4 linked regions of the Saccharomyces cerevisiae S288C genome follow. Changing the gene in region 3 together with the main gene of any one other region gives a genetic interaction. Each region holds a gene or a part of one and is shown on either strand. Other genes may lie near its edges. The genes, in order: MSC6, MRS2, MIS1 and MFM1.

The links.
Region 1: mutations in MIS1 (region 3) and MSC6 together harm fitness more than expected from each alone (negative genetic interaction), as found in Saccharomyces cerevisiae (2 studies listed by BioGRID).
Region 2: mutations in MIS1 (region 3) and MRS2 together harm fitness more than expected from each alone (negative genetic interaction), as found in Saccharomyces cerevisiae (2 studies listed by BioGRID).
Region 4: mutations in MIS1 (region 3) and MFM1 together harm fitness more than expected from each alone (negative genetic interaction), as found in Saccharomyces cerevisiae (2 studies listed by BioGRID).

What each region holds. Positions count from the first base shown.
Region 1 is NC_001147.6:1,000,614-1,004,959, forward strand, and holds MSC6 (Msc6p), read right to left. Parts: upstream 2,613-4,346; coding exon 534-2,612; downstream 1-533. Other genes in the region: SOG2 (Sog2p), read right to left, coding at 1-215. UniProt on the Saccharomyces cerevisiae protein: May be involved in the control of meiotic sister-chromatid recombination.
Region 2 is NC_001147.6:943,068-946,573, forward strand, and holds MRS2 (Mrs2p), read left to right. Parts: upstream 1-1,528; coding exon 1,529-2,941; downstream 2,942-3,506. Other genes in the region: DNA-directed DNA polymerase gamma MIP1, read right to left, coding at 1-318; VMA4 (H(+)-transporting V1 sector ATPase subunit E), read left to right, coding at 589-1,290; ALA1 (alanine--tRNA ligase), read right to left, coding at 3,166-3,506. UniProt on the Saccharomyces cerevisiae protein: High-conductance magnesium-selective channel that mediates the influx of magnesium into the mitochondrial matrix.
Region 3 is NC_001134.8:409,180-414,501, reverse strand, and holds MIS1 (trifunctional formate-tetrahydrofolate ligase/methenyltetrahydrofolate cyclohydrolase/methylenetetrahydrofolate dehydrogenase MIS1), read right to left. Parts: upstream 3,449-5,322; coding exon 521-3,448; downstream 1-520. Other genes in the region: 60S ribosomal protein eL19 RPL19A, read left to right, coding at 1-316; TEC1 (Tec1p), read right to left, coding at 3,873-5,322. UniProt on the Saccharomyces cerevisiae protein: Mitochondrial isozyme of C-1-tetrahydrofolate synthase.
Region 4 is NC_001148.4:432,942-436,278, reverse strand, and holds MFM1 (Mfm1p), read right to left. Parts: upstream 1,757-3,337; coding exon 515-1,756; downstream 1-514. Other genes in the region: aldehyde dehydrogenase (NADP(+)) ALD6, read right to left, coding at 2,189-3,337. UniProt on the Saccharomyces cerevisiae protein: Mitochondrial inner membrane magnesium transporter required for mitochondrial magnesium homeostasis. Modulates the conductance of the MRS2 channel.

The sequences.
Region 1 (4,346 bases), on a different chromosome or scaffold from region 3:
GACAGTCTTTCAACATTTTGGATATATCCCACATCTTCATCTGATATGGACTTGATATTAAGAGCTATTAATTTTAGTGTAGTACCACTAGAGCTGGATTTCTCTTGTGTTGCCAACTCAGATATTATAGTGTTGCTTGAATTAGTGGATGTTTTGTCAGCAGGCAAATGTTCCTCCTTCGGATCCAACGTCCTCTTTGAAGATGTCGCTACCATACGTTACGGATACTTATAGACTTAACTCCCCCCAATAAGTTCAGGTGAAAAGTAGCATGGAGTTTTGGCATTAACTTTATTTGCCCACTTATATTTAGAGATCTTGAAATACTTTTTGTTACCCGACTTGTAGCTTCATTTTTTCATTTTTTTTTTTTTTTTTTATTTTTATTTTGTATTGTTCTTTGAAAGAATCATGCATGGAAGCAATAACTATTATACGGAAGTTATATACAAGAAATCATTATATAGTTACAGCATCATATGTGCAGAAAATTGGTTCTGAGCTTTTCTTATTGTCTTCTTATGACAAGTGTATTAAGTCAACTTTTCTGGAACAGTAATTCCATCACATTCTTTTAAAATTTGAATATCCTTAGGGTTGGGACGAAAACCCTCATTAGTGCCTAAATCTCGCATAAACTGGTTAATAAAAGCAACCTCTTTGTCAGATAACTGCTGAGTATTGCGTGCAAATGTGGCCAAGTTGAATAGAATTTTCGAAACGGCCAAGTTCGACACCCTGATACTTGAATCCTTAGCTAGATTGTAGTACTTTTCGATGTAGGGAACGTACTCGCTATGTTTACTCTTGTAAAGTTTATCACAGAACCCCAATAATAAAGCATTTAGAGGCGTATTATCCACGTTTCTCTTTCTAGTCTTTTGATATGAGAGAAAATCAGAAAACAAATTCTTTGCCTCGGCCACTGTGCCGTCAGGCTTATTAAACTCTGCGGAAATAAAGTCTGCATAATTCCTAGCATTTAAGTGAGTTCCCAATTGTTTGTAAAGTTGACGAATCGGCTCGACAGTGGGGCACACTGAAATAAAGGCTTTCGTAATCTTTTCAACCTTTTCATAATCGGTGGGATTAATGGAAACACTTTGCAATAGATCGAATTGTGGGCGTGTATCTTCTGCCTGAAATTTATAATTAGCGTACATTTTAATGCTTAGAGTATCCAAAGTAGGGGGTAACACACCATCTGATGGATAATGGTTATAGTAAAATGTGTTGAATTGTTCTTCGCTCACTTTTTCATCATCTAACATTAGCAATAAAACTTTATTGAACAACTTCTTGGTTTTAACAGTCTCTGCTAACTCCCCTTTGACTTGGTCATACTTTAGAGGCGAAGTTTGACATAAGGCCAGGAGAAATGCTTCCTTCACGATGGGATCTTTCTTGAACTTTTTAGGAAGTTCTTCTTCCCAAAATTCCTTTAAATGGTTGAAATTTCCAGAATCAGTTAGTGCGTTAACTAGCGTCGCATAAGATGTGTTTTTAATATTATCTCCTGGTTTGATAACACTGTTCCAGACTGCTAGAATTCTGTCCAACTTCTCTTTACTCGATTTAGCTCGTAAGTGCGACACAGCTCTTAAAAGACAATCTTTCAGCGACGTACTATTTGGGAAAACCTTGCTATACTGGTTATAAATAGTAACAACTTGGTCGGGTTTATCCAAATCAATAAACTTGTCCATGAACTTGCTTATGATCTCTACATTTTTCTCACCTTCAAGTTTATTGTATTGGCCATAAAGATCCCTTAAATCTATCCATCTAGGAGCATTTTCAATTTGACTTAAGAAATGATCACTATCCTGTACTGTGTATTGATAGTACAAAGTGTTTAGATTTTTGATAATCACGTCTCTTCTTTCAAGAGAGCTAAATTCTGTACTTAACATTCTTCTAATCATGTTAAAAGGTAAAACCTGGCCCATTTTACGATCGATCTGTAAAATCTTATACAGAATATTGATATCCACAGTATTCTCTGGTAAAGATAAGTAAGCAATGGTGGTAATTGCAATATTTTGCATATGTGCACGAGAAGAACTATTTTGAAGTAAGATCACTGGGTTTTCGGAAATGGTTTCCAAGTACTTCACCCATAAGGCAATAACGTCCTGTGGTGATTGATTATATAGAAGGTACTTTAAAACAATCGTGAAATGTTGTGAGCGTGCCAATTTGTATTGGCACAATGTGTTTAATACTTGATAAGGATCTAGCGTCATATTTTTGCTTCTGTAACTTAATTCCTGTAGGAGATCCGAAGAAAAATTCGCTAACAAGTGTGATCTTTCCATAGGTGAAGGGTTCCTTAATTTCTGTTTCAACGATTCAATCTTATCTTTAAAGTCATTAAAAACTTCATTGATATCTGAATCTGGAGCTTTCAACTCGTTCTTCAAATCAGCAGCCAAATTTTGTACCCTTTCAAACGGTGAGACGTGCTTTTCTCTATTTCCTGAATGTCCATCATCTGTTTCTTGTAAGTGAACGCTGCTTTGTTGGTATATCGATGTTGAAGAGGTTAGACATCTTCGTGAAATAATCACCTTTGAACAATCAAAGGCCCTTAAAGCATTATGGGAAAGCATCTGTATCCCAGTGGAAGGCTCTGATATTATTTTGTGCAGAGCCAACTTAAGCAAACATATAGACAGTACGTCCTTAGTTAGACATGTGTAGCAATTGAACGATTCCACAGGCGGTATGTATATCGTATATGATGATATTACATTTTACTTACCCCGCTTTTTCCCTCTTATAATCGATTAATTACTTAGTCGACGAGCAACCTTTTATGGCATATTTGAAAGGTAATACAATGTTCCAACTTCGTTTTTTATTCACAGATCAATTAACGTATTGGCACACCTGATATTTCCTCAATAGTAAGTAGTTTTGGTGATGTAACTTTGACACTACCTTCGACCGAATATTCACTTATAAAACTTATATATTACTTGCTTTTACTTCTAACTTGTCTGGAGAGTTCAATCTTTGTTTTCAGCTCTATATACCGGTTTTCTGCATCGGCGGCTAAATGGTATTCTTTTCCGCTTGGCTCTACACAATGTTTATTAAGCTGAGCGTCGGTGTTTCCGATTTGGACCGTTTGACTTTCTTTTTGGACTGGTTTTCTTTTTTAGTACGAGGTGTACGGACAAAAGATACTAACGGACAAAACGCGGTTGCAACTGAAATTTTTTTTTCACTATTTTCGTAGGGCACATTGGTGTAAATATATATATATATACTCAAGGTTCATCTCGTTTTTTTTAATATTCTTGTTCCTTACTCTTGATCATACGTAGAATGTATGTCTTTATCCTGAAAGTAAAGAAAGGATTATACAATGCTGAAATGTTAGTACTAAATATGAGCATACAATCACTTGTTGTTCACTAGTTCAACGAGTTTCATTCATATTCAACTCACGCAAGGGATTATGGAAGAAGAATCCTTTTTATGAAAGGGAAAAAAAACCGAAATACTATGTTAACTGCTTCCAACGCTCTATACTAATGCGCATGAAGATTTTACTTGCGAATCAAACTGATTCGCACGCAATATCTAAGTCTGCTATACCTACCTTACATCTCGCCGTATGTTATGGGTGCAAGGGTGTTTTTTTTTTTTTATATTTTTTTTGTTTGGGGTTTTCGATACTTTGTGAAGGAACGACGCAGAAAAAAACGAAAATCATACGCCCGATGAAATTTTTGATAAGAAAATTTTCTGAAAACCCATGCGATGAGAAGTCAAAAATTTTTCTTCTTCTCCTTTTCTTGTACTTTTATCCCGGCTAGTTCTTTTTCTAAAATTTTCATATTCCAGTCCAATATTTTACTTCATTTTTTTTTTCTGTTCTCGCTTGGCTTGATTTAATTTTTTACGTAGGTTTTTTTTACACGATATTGTTTGTATTATCAGTATTCCCTTCAAGCTCCCCTTTTTTTTATCAATTAAGGTTCTTGGTAATTTCTATTTCTGAAAAACCAAAAACAAAAAGTCATTGATTGACTATTTGACTCAAATTACCAAAATCATAACTTTTCTTTTCAGCATTCCATTATTGAAGGCTTTAAAATAATAGTTTCTTTTTTCCTATTATTTTATTTTTTCCTTTACATTGGAATACATTTTATTTTGAGTTTTAATTTTTTTTATTTTCTATTCCATTGTTTTTTATTTGCTTTGGACTGCCCTTTTCGTAATAATTTCCCTTTTTACCCTATTTTAGTCACTTCTGTGTCAGCAAGCGGGATTATATAAAGAAACGTTAGCAGAAACAATATCAGCAAAATAGAAAATAAACGGGCAATCAA
Region 2 (3,506 bases), on a different chromosome or scaffold from region 3:
GCCTTGTAGTGGCGGCAGAGGAAACGATATTGGATCCGTGATGAGCGTCTTCTTCCCCCACAACCCATGGTCCTTTAGCGACTTTTTCGATAACTCCATAAGTTTGTCGCTTTGCTCCACCTCATCTTTACCACCGCAACTACCAAATACCTGTCTTTGCAAAGACTCACCTAAATACTGTATCCCCACAGGATTAATCCTGGGTGCTTCTGCGGTATTCTTCTTTGTGGAGAACCATCGAGCACAAAACTGCACACGCAGCGGCCGCCGCCGCACCATTCGCAGCATGCATTCAGATCTAACCATCAATTTCGTCATACTTGTCCCTCGTTGCTCAACAACTACATATAATCCCCATCTCGACCTCTTCTTTAGAACCGTTCTTTCGTAGTCCATACCTATTGTTGTTTACTGAGTATCGGCTAAAAGTGCGCCCGAGGTCACCCGCCACGGAGAGGGGCGAAAGCGGCCATTTCGATAAGAACTCACGCTATATATCAGCAAAGAACAATAGCAGTTGCAAGAAAAGTTGTTTGTAACTGTTTTACAAAAGAGGCACAGAACAGGCCACGCACCATCCGATACAGCATGTCCTCCGCTATTACTGCTTTGACACCAAACCAAGTGAACGATGAATTGAACAAGATGCAAGCTTTCATCAGAAAGGAAGCTGAAGAAAAAGCGAAGGAAATCCAATTGAAGGCTGACCAAGAGTACGAAATCGAGAAGACCAACATCGTAAGAAATGAAACCAACAACATTGACGGCAACTTCAAGAGCAAGTTGAAGAAGGCCATGCTTTCGCAACAGATTACTAAGTCAACGATAGCAAACAAAATGAGGTTGAAGGTTCTTTCTGCTCGTGAACAGTCGCTAGACGGGATATTCGAGGAAACCAAGGAAAAGTTGTCAGGAATTGCCAACAACCGGGACGAGTACAAGCCCATTTTGCAATCATTGATCGTGGAGGCACTTTTGAAGTTGTTGGAACCTAAGGCGATTGTCAAGGCTCTTGAAAGAGACGTCGATTTAATCGAGTCGATGAAGGACGACATTATGCGTGAGTATGGGGAAAAGGCCCAGCGCGCACCATTGGAAGAGATTGTTATCTCCAATGATTACTTGAACAAAGACCTTGTTTCCGGCGGTGTTGTGGTCTCCAATGCATCAGACAAGATTGAAATTAACAACACTTTGGAGGAAAGATTGAAATTGTTAAGTGAAGAGGCATTGCCCGCCATCAGATTGGAATTGTATGGTCCTTCCAAGACAAGAAAGTTCTTTGATTGATCGACCAGCAGCTTGTATACCTACATACTTACATATACACTCCTAACAGATTTTTTTTTGTATGTTGTTCTTTCCTCTGTGGTGGTCCAGTCTTTTGTCTCTTTTTTTTTTTCTTCTTTTTTTTTTTTTTTTTTTTTTTTGCAGCATTATGATAGAACAATAGGGCTCAAGATCGCACCAAGGCTAACAGTAACGGTATACGCAATCGTAGTGAAAGTGATTTTCAATCAAGCATCTCATGAATCGGCGTCTCCTGGTACGTTCTATATCTTGTTTCCAACCTTTGTCGAGAATAACTTTTGGAAGACCAAACACGCCATTTCTTAGAAAGTATGCTGACACATCCACTGCTGCAAACACCAACAGCACCATATTGCGGAAACAGTTACTATCGTTGAAGCCCATTTCTGCCTCTGATTCACTGTTCATTTCGTGTACGGTATTCAATTCTAAGGGAAATATTATCTCAATGTCCGAGAAGTTTCCTAAATGGTCCTTTTTAACTGAACATTCCCTTTTCCCCAGAGACCTGAGGAAAATAGATAACTCCTCTATTGATATTATTCCAACCATCATGTGTAAGCCAAACTGTATTGTCATCAACTTATTGCATATCAAAGCTCTTATCGAACGAGATAAGGTCTACGTCTTCGATACAACAAACCCTTCCGCCGCTGCCAAACTGAGTGTACTTATGTATGACTTGGAGTCTAAGTTGTCCTCCACCAAGAATAACTCTCAATTTTACGAGCATAGAGCCCTCGAGAGTATTTTCATCAACGTAATGAGCGCACTGGAAACAGATTTCAAGCTTCACTCACAAATCTGTATTCAAATCTTAAATGATCTGGAAAACGAGGTCAATAGACTTAAACTGCGGCATCTTTTAATTAAGTCCAAAGATCTTACGCTTTTTTACCAAAAAACTTTATTGATTAGAGATCTATTAGATGAACTATTAGAAAACGACGATGATTTAGCAAACATGTACTTGACAGTTAAGAAGTCTCCTAAGGACAATTTTTCGGACTTGGAAATGCTTATAGAGACGTACTACACCCAATGTGATGAATACGTTCAGCAATCAGAATCTTTGATTCAGGATATCAAATCTACTGAAGAAATTGTCAACATCATATTGGACGCAAATAGAAATTCCTTAATGTTGTTGGAGTTGAAAGTTACCATCTACACGTTGGGATTCACAGTAGCATCTGTTCTGCCGGCATTCTATGGTATGAATTTAAAGAATTTCATCGAGGAGAGTGAATGGGGGTTTACTTCAGTGGCGGTATTTTCTATTGTTTCTGCCCTTTATATCACCAAGAAAAATTTTAATTCTTTAAGATCCGTGACAAAGATGACCATGTATCCAAACTCACCCGCAAACTCCAGTGTGTATCCTAAAACATCAGCGTCTATTGCCCTGACAAATAAACTAAAGCGAAGGCGGAAGTGGTGGAAATCAACCAAGCAGCGGTTGGGAGTGCTACTTTATGGCAGCAGCTACACTAATAAGGCTAACCTGTCGAATAATAAGATTAATAAAGGTTTTTCAAAGGTGAAGAAATTTAACATGGAGAATGATATTAAGAACAAGCAGAACAGAGATATGATTTGGAAATGGTTGATAGAAGACAAGAAAAATTGAAAGGCGATTATCATGATAAACTATACAATATTATTAGCATAAACCTGTATATATACATATGTAAGAAAAAAGGGTATTTAAAACTCTTTTTAACAGCAAATCTTTTGTCCTTGTAAAAACATAAATAATTAAACTAAGACTAATTATACAATGACACTTTTTTATTAAGAGCAAAATAAACAAAAAGAACTCCTATGCATTATTTTTCGTTTTATTTTAACTTCTTAAATGGAAAGCTTCTCCTTGAACAAACTTTCCAAATCATCAACTGCATCCTTTATAGCGGCTGGTTTATCACCCATACCTTGGAAAACATTACCTTTACCACCAGCCTTACCGCCGATGATACTGGACACCTTTTTGGCAAGCGCAGAACCATCAATACCCTTGGCTAAAGCAGCATTGGAGATGTAACAACCGTGAGCAACACGACCTTCAGGGTCATTACCTGCCAATAAATAGATTGACTTGTCTTTGACAGAATCATTGGATTTCATGTAGTTGATCGCTTCAGTGATAGCTTTAGCATTTGGAGAAATATCAATGAATTTAACTAGGTATGGAG
Region 3 (5,322 bases):
AGAAGCCCGTTTACCATCCCAAGTTGTCTGGATCAGAAGATTACGTGTCTTGAGAAGATTATTGGCTAAGTACCGTGATGCTGGTAAGATTGACAAGCACTTGTACCATGTTTTGTACAAGGAATCTAAGGGTAACGCTTTCAAACACAAGAGAGCCTTGGTTGAACACATCATCCAAGCTAAGGCTGATGCTCAACGTGAAAAGGCTTTGAACGAAGAAGCTGAAGCTAGAAGATTGAAGAACAGAGCTGCTCGTGACAGAAGAGCTCAAAGAGTTGCTGAAAAGAGAGATGCTTTATTGAAGGAAGACGCTTAAATTTTCTTTAATTAATTTATCTTAATATACATACTCAGTTAATAAACAGGTAGCAAAAACTTCGATAATACGTATGTATGCACATATACCTACATAACTAAAACCCATTTTTCTAATATTCTCATCTCAATTGTTTATATAAAGGGTACTCGTGCAGACGGACATCGAGGTCGAATTGATGCCATTAGGAGTCTGCCAAACTATTTAAAATAGACCTTCAATTTCACCGTCGTCGTCGACTTCTACTGCCATGTAACCAGCATATGTCGATAGACCCGGTATGGTTTGAATTTCTGCAGCCAAAGCGTATAAATAACCTGCACCTATTGAAGCTCTCACATCCCTGATGGGGAACGTAAAACCTCTAGGAACACCCTTTAATGATGGATCATGGGATAATGAATATTGTGTCTTAGCAATACAGATGGGAAGATTACCGAAGCCTTGTTTTTTGTAGGTGTCTATCTTTTTTTGGGCTTCTGGTGATACTTCGATTTTTGCCCCACCATACATTTTTTGGACGATGCTGGTAAGCTTGTCCTCGATGGAGCTATTGACGTCGTACAAAAAGTTAAAGTTCTTTGGTTCTTTCGTTGCATCTACCACAGCATGTGCTAATTCTACTGCACCTTTACCACCTTCCATCCAGTGATTAGAAGTAACGGCATGAGATGCGCCAGCATTCAAGGCTGCTTTCTTGATTACCTCAATCTCTGCCTGTGAGTCTGTTTCAAATCTGTTGATTGCTACAACGACTGGTATTCCAAACGTTTTGATGTTTTCAATCTGCTTAACCAAATTACTAACACCCTTGGCAACAAAATCGATGTTTTCCTCTGTGTATTCTTTTGGTAATGATTGTCCGGGCTTAACATTTGGAGCACCTCCATGAGATTTCAAAGCTCTTACGGTTGCGACTAAGACAACTGCATCTGGCACCAATCCAGAGGAACGACATTTGATATCAAAGAATCTTTCACCACCCATGGCAAAATCGAATCCTGCTTCAGTAACTACATAACCAGGTTCATGGATGTTCTTGTCATTTAACGGGTTCTTTTCTGAACCAACAAGCTTCAATGCCATTAAGTCTGCAATTACTGATGATGCGCCGATGGAGATGTTGGCGAAAGGACCAGCGTGAACCATTACGGGGGTCCCTTCCAAAGTTTGCATTAAGTTAGGCTTTATAGCGTCACGTAATAATGCAGTCAGAGCACCGGTACAGCCAATATCTTCTACTGTTACTGGTTTGTTATCATAATCAGCACCAATAACCATGCGTCCAATACGTTCCTTCATCTCGTGTAAGCTTTTAGATAGAGCTAAAATGGCCATTAATTCAGAGGCAACAGTGATATCGAATCCAGTGGTCCTTGTAAAACCCTTCTCCGTAGCGGCTTCGCCAATGGTAATTTGTCTTAACATCCTGTCATTGATGTCGACAACTCTTCTGATAGTGATAGTATCGGGATTTATGTTCAATCTAGCAAATCTTTTGACTTCTTCAGGTGTTAAAGCATCAGGGTCTTCTTTTTCAATATCCAATCTTTTAAGCCTTCTCTGCATGGATGGGGTAAACTTTCTGATGCCTTTTTTTCTTGGAACTAGTCTCTTGTAAAATGTACTATCATTCTTCTGAGTGGCTTCATGGAACATTCTAGTGTCGATAGCTGCTGCAAGAAGATTGTTCGCAGCGCTGATAGCATGAATATCCCCGGTCAAATGTAAATTGAACTCGTCCATAGGAATAACTTGGGCATAACCACCACCAGCAGCACCACCTTTGACACCCAGGGTTGGGCCAAGAGATGGTTGTCTAACGTTCGCGATGGATGGTTTCCCTAAATGAGCGGATAAAGCCTGCACCAACCCCATAGTCGTAGTGGATTTACCTTCACCCAATGGAGTCGGAGTAATACCTGCAACAAGGACGTACTTACCGTTTTCTCTAGATTCTAATCTTTTAAAAATATTTGGAGAAATTTTTGCCTTATAGTGGCCGTATAATTCTAATTCGTGAGAGTGGATTCCCAACTCCTCGGCAACTTGCTTGATATGCTTAGGACTCTGAGCTCTTGATATATCAATATCTGAAGGCACTGGACTTTCTAAGTGTAATGGAAGAGGTTTGATAACTGGAAGCTTTTCAGATTCCACGAATTGCCTTTTAGCAGCTAATAGTACATTGGAAACAAGCATAGCGACAGTCATTGGACCCACTCCACCAGGAACAGGGGTAATATAAGATGTCTTTTCCTTTACAGAATCAAAATCAACATCACCAACTAATTTTTGCCCACTTTTCTTACTGATATCAGGTACGTAGTTGATACCTACATCAATAACCACGGCGCCTTCTTTAATCCAGTCTGATTTAACGTATTGAGGAATACCGCAAGCTGCGATAACTATATCAGCTTGGGAGACCACTTCTGCAATGTTCCTTGTATGACTATGACAGACAGTAACAGTGGCATTCGCATTTTTCAACAACGAAGCAATTGGATTTCCGACGATACTTGATCTGCCTAACACGACGGCGTTCTTACCATCTAACTTAACATGAGCTTCTTCAAGTAATTTCATGCAACCATAAGGAGTACATGGTATGAAGTATGGTTTCCCTCCTTTTTTAGCCAATTCACCAGCATTATATCTGTGGAACCCATCAACGTCCTTTTTAAAGTCCACAGCGTTTGTAATCGTGGTTTCATCCAAGTGACGCGGTAGAGGTAGTTGAATTAGCAACCCATGGATAGAGTCATCATCATTGATGTCACTAATTTTCTTCAAAAGCTCAACTTCAGTGATTTCTGCTGGTAACTTCTCTATGATACAGTCTACATTGCTGTCCTTTGAAGCTTTCAATTTCATCCTCACGTACGTAGATGAGTCTGGTCTGGCCCCGACTTGAATGATTTTCAAGGTAGGCTTGAAATTAGGATGCTTAAGCTTAATGGCTTGTATCTCATCATTGGCTTTTTCTCGAATAGATTGAGCAAGTTTCCTACCAGAAAGAATATGGTATTGAGAAGCATGCACAGTTGGCGAAACTTTTAAGCGGTAAATGCGCCATCTGGCCTGTTGGAACGCCCTCGAGTTACTCAATAAAGATAGTCTCGACAACATTTCCTTTTAGCCTTAAATATCTGACAAATGAACAGACTGAGAGAATCACAGTAATGAAAGTTGTTTTTTGATGTGTATTGGCTGGTTTACTTCTGCAATTCTTGAGGCATCGAGAACCGCTGCAACATTATTTCGGAGGAAAAAGAAAAAAAATCGCTGTCCGTTGAAGTGAAAAAAATTTCAGCATGGCGCTAGAGAACTTTCTTACTCGTTCTGGCGCGTCAGTAAAAAAGAACTCGGGAAACAATAAGAACCATACATGTGCGATAGAAGAGTGTTGCAGGAGTAGCTTTGGTTTTGTTCGAGAACTGGTAATGTTTGACTAATACATAATTGTACCGTGCTCAATCATATCTGTGACGGTTCTTACTACGAAGATACGTATGCGTATTTATGTACGAGATGTATGTATGTATGTAGACATTTAATAAAAGTTCCCATGCGATTGGTTGGATGGCGTAAAGTTCCTTTGATGTGGAGAATGTTCGTAATGCTGGGGTGATGATAATAACAGCTGCGAAAAATAAGATGTTTGGTACTGGGGCAGACCTTGAATATAATTGGCATTGTAAGCATCTTCAGCAGGTCTTGGATACATGGGCCTTCCTCGTACTTTGGAGAGTGAGTAGGGCATTCCATTATTCTTGTAGTATGGCACTGGTCTGCTTTGGAGTTGTGTGACTGTGGCTGATCTTGGGACTACTTCTTCCTCCGATTCGTACTCTGAACCGGAATTGGAATTGGAACTGAACTCAGGATTACTTTCATGTTCTTGTATGCGGGAAATTCTTTGGTATTTGTTGATTATCTTTCTCTGCTCTATTTCGATTTTTTTTGCACTCTCCAGGATTGCCTTCTTGTTGGAAAAGCTAGCCTTATTGGGGCGATCTCCCTGGTGGAGTTCCGTGGGGGAAAGTTGTTCAAGAGGCCTCTTTGACGGAACGCACTTGTAGCCGTCTATGTTTTCATAAATGTGCTTAGCGTAAATGAGGGGGGTTTTGGCTTGAGATGCAGCATTAGTTTTTATGAAATTTTCAATTTTTTTCTCGTTGGAAGCAGTGATTGGCGTAAGCAGTTTTGAATGTACTGACAATCCACTGCTATTATTACTTACATAGAGGTTTTTAGGGGTTAAACTTCCAGAATCACTGACTGAAGGTAGAGAGTCGATAATTTCTTCAAATATGTCATAAAACAGGTTTGAGTTTTCAGTAGTTTGTTCAGCGCCATGTTCGATAAGGTGTAGAAGCTCCTTCTCCTTTGATGATAGGGTCAGCGAGTCCTTGATTTTGTTTTGTATGGTCTTCTTCCAGACTTGAATATGGGAAGAAATTTGCTTTTTGGTTCTGAACTCGTTGGTTTTGTGCTTGATATATAATGAAATCAGCTCGTTTCTTCCAAAATTGGCATTTCTTATTTTTATTTTTGTGGTCCCATTTTTCATTATCAGTCTAAGTGCCTCAAGGAATGCCTCTTCTACCTTTTCTGACCACTTATCACAACCGATAGTCCAAGATTCCGTTGTTGACGACGTTTCGCTACTTTGTCCGGGAAAGTAGTTGCTCACAGATATATTTGGTACTTCATTCTTCCTCTGCTTGTCAGTGAACGTAGCCTTTGCTGATGGAGATTTCAAATCGTCCGATTTAGCACCCAGTCCAGTATTTACCAGTTCGAATTGAGGATGCGTGTCTATGAGATTGATGTTATCCTCCGCTTCATTTTTCACACAAGCGGCGGTTGAAACTACGGCTTCTGGAAACATATCATCCAAGGCCGACTGTGAATACGAATCTTTTTGTATATATACGTCAAAAATTCTACCAGTATATGATTCTATATTTCTAGAATTATCCTTGCCAAAGTCGTCTTCT
Region 4 (3,337 bases), on a different chromosome or scaffold from region 3:
CAATTATCTCAAAATTCATCAATTTCTCAATGATATCATTTTTTCTTCCTTCTTTTTATACTTTGTGATTCATTATCCTATTATATAATCAATCCTTTCATTTCACTTTCATTAAACTTGATGACTGTTTCTCAATCCTTATCTCATCTTCTTACACCGTATATGATAATATACTGCTAATATTTCTAGTAGTCAGCATGATATTTGATTTTCACCAATCAACCACAAGTCCTGACAGGAAGTTATTATTTAACCACATTACTGTTGCGTGGATAAGTGTTATTATTCTATTGCCTTAAAACTATACAACAAAAGCTCGTATGGCGCAGTGGTAGCGCAGCAGATTGCAAATCTGTTGGTCCTTAGTTCGATCCTGAGTGCGAGCTTTCTTTTTTTCCAAAGAATTTTAATTATATACGTTCGCCTGTACGGCTTTTTATATACTTAAAAAAGTGAAAGTTGTTCTTATTCATTTGAATGCGTATTAAAAAGATTGATTGACTCTTCGTGATAACTATTTCTTCAACAGTTCGTGAACGGAATCTGTTTTTATTTTACTCAATAATGTCATACGTTGTAATTTATGCAAATGTCTGATTCCCTTCGCATAGAGCCAAACAGTAGATATTAACCCCAAAATGGTGACAGTTAAATACGCATAATTACTTTCTTCTATGAAACTTTCCAGATTCATACCATAGATAGAACCCAGGAATAGAGCGCCTCCCAACGAAAGCATTCCTATGGCGTATCTTATCCCTAACAGCATTAATTCGTTTCTGTTAGAATCTAGGATTATATTGATGATTTCTTCTGTGGTTTTCACGTCAGATATGGCGCTTTCGCTTTTCTGAACTATTTCATCGACATAGTTATGATATGTTTCCAGAAGCATTTCAATTTCAGTATGATCATCTTGAACTCTAATTTTTCCAGCCTTTTTGTCGGTTAAGTACATATCACAAAGCATATCGTCTTGCTCTAGCAAGTCATCCAGCATATCTTTAACTAGAACAGCCTTTTTATTGAAGCTGCTCAATTTTTTGTTTTGACCCAGTAAGAACCTTAATTTATCTCTTGTTATACTAAATTCTAGATCTTGAAGCACCCCCTTGCATATGGTTAGCAACACCTTCATTTCACTGGTAAGGTTAGATAATGCCGAAATGAAGATCGTTTCTAAAGCTCTGAATTCATAAGGAAGTGGATCGCTATTTAGCTCGCTTGTTTCTTGATTTTTTAGTCTCAATTTCATATCGTTAATAAAATCCTTGTGAGCTTCTGAGTTTAAAGTTATTCCACTGCCGGCTGAATCGAAGATAATAACCATATCAGGCTTAATTAGGGCTTTCACAGTAAGTAAACTGATTAGTATGGAATTTTCTCGCACGAGCAAACTAGGGACTAAGTCATTCTTCCTTGATTTTTCAATTTTACGTAGATCTCTGGGCAACAAGCCATGTTTTGATACTAGATCCTCACGTTTTATCTCTACTAATGGTGATTTGGCTCGTCCAGTTGAGTCTAGCAAAGTACATCGTATTGTCCCTGATCCATACCCATAGAGCATGTTGTTTCTTTGGATCAAGTTTTTCTGTAGTAGCATTGCAGCGGTATTGTCAGGGTCCACCTTAGGCATTTGCCTAGAGAAATCAAAAGAAGAAAGTGATGAACCAAAAAGCCTTACTGTTCGAAGAAGGATGTTATTATATGATCTCTGATGGCGAAATGGCAGTACTCGGGGGAATGCTCTCATGTGTACCTTTTGATTGGAATTGGTTCGCAGTGTTTATGTTATATTAGCTCAATGTGCTCCCTGTATTTTATATATGAAACAAGTCTTTGTATTGCTATTTTTTTCAAACCTTTTTCTCAACTCTAAAAGCGGTCCACGTTAGTTTTCTTTGGATATAGCAGTTGTTGTACACTAGCTTAAGATGTAAAATTCAATTCAATATGATTTTGTGTGGGATGTTTTAAAGAAGGCACAAGCCTGTTCTCTCTTTTTCTCTTTTTTCATGGATTGTATCGCTTAAAAGGGAGAAATGAAGTAAACGATTCTTTTTGTAAAAATATAAAACCAAATTTTTTAATTTATATGTATACATATTTATTTATGACGTAAGACCAAGTAAGTTTATATGAAAGTATTTTGTGTATATGACGGAAAGAAATGCAGGTTGGTACATTACAACTTAATTCTGACAGCTTTTACTTCAGTGTATGCATGGTAGACTTCTTCACCCATTTCTCTACCGTAACCAGATTGCTTAACACCACCGAATGGAACTCTGGAGTCAAAATCGTTGTATGTGTTGATCCAGACGGTACCGGCCTTCAACATCTTGGCCACCTTCAAACCTGTGCTCAAAGATTCTGTTTCGATACCAGAACCTAGACCGAATTCAGAGCTGTTAGCCATTTCGACACCTTCTTCTAAAGTCTTGAACTTTGCGACAGTGACAACTGGTCCAAAAATTTCTTCCTTAACAATTCTCATGTCTTCATTAACATCGTAGAAAACGGTTGGTCTGATGAAGTAACCCTTGTCACCAACTTTTTCGCCACCAGTTAAGATCTTGGCGCCTTCTTTCTTACCGATATCGATGTAGTTCATAATTGTGTCGAATTGTTGACGGTTAGTGATAGCACCTTGGAAGTTAGCCTTGTCAAATGGATTACCAACTTTGATTTCGGTTTCCAAGTAAGCCTTGAAAGCAGCCAATAGTTCGTCGTAAATACCTTCTTGAACGTAAATTCTAGAACCAGAGGAACAAATTTGACCAGCGTTCTTGAAAATACCGTTTACTAGATTTGGTAAAGTCTTCTTAATGTTAGCATCGTCAAAGACCAAATGGGCGGACTTACCACCTAGTTCCAAAGTGATTTTCTTCAAGTTAGATTCAGAAGAGTCGACAGCAACACTCTTACCGACTTCTGTAGAACCGGTAAAAGCCAGCTTTCTGATTCTTGGGTCGTTGGTCAAAGCAGCACCAACAGTTCTACCAGGACCTGGAACGATGTTGACGACACCAGCTGGAATACCAACCTTCTTACATAAAGAAGCAAAGTATAGGGCATTTAAAGGTGTGACAGCAGCGGGTTTCAAGATACAGACGTTACCCATGGCCAATGCTGGGGCGATCTTCCAAGCCAACATCATTATTGGAAAGTTCCATGGAATAATTTGACCACAGACACCGATTGGCTCTAAGGTGGTGAAGTTCATGTAGCCGTCACCGGTGTTGATTGTTCTACCGTTGACTTTGTCGGCATAGGCAGCAGCATCTCTTAGACAGTTGATTGCAATGGTAACATCCCCACGGGCTAAGGCCAA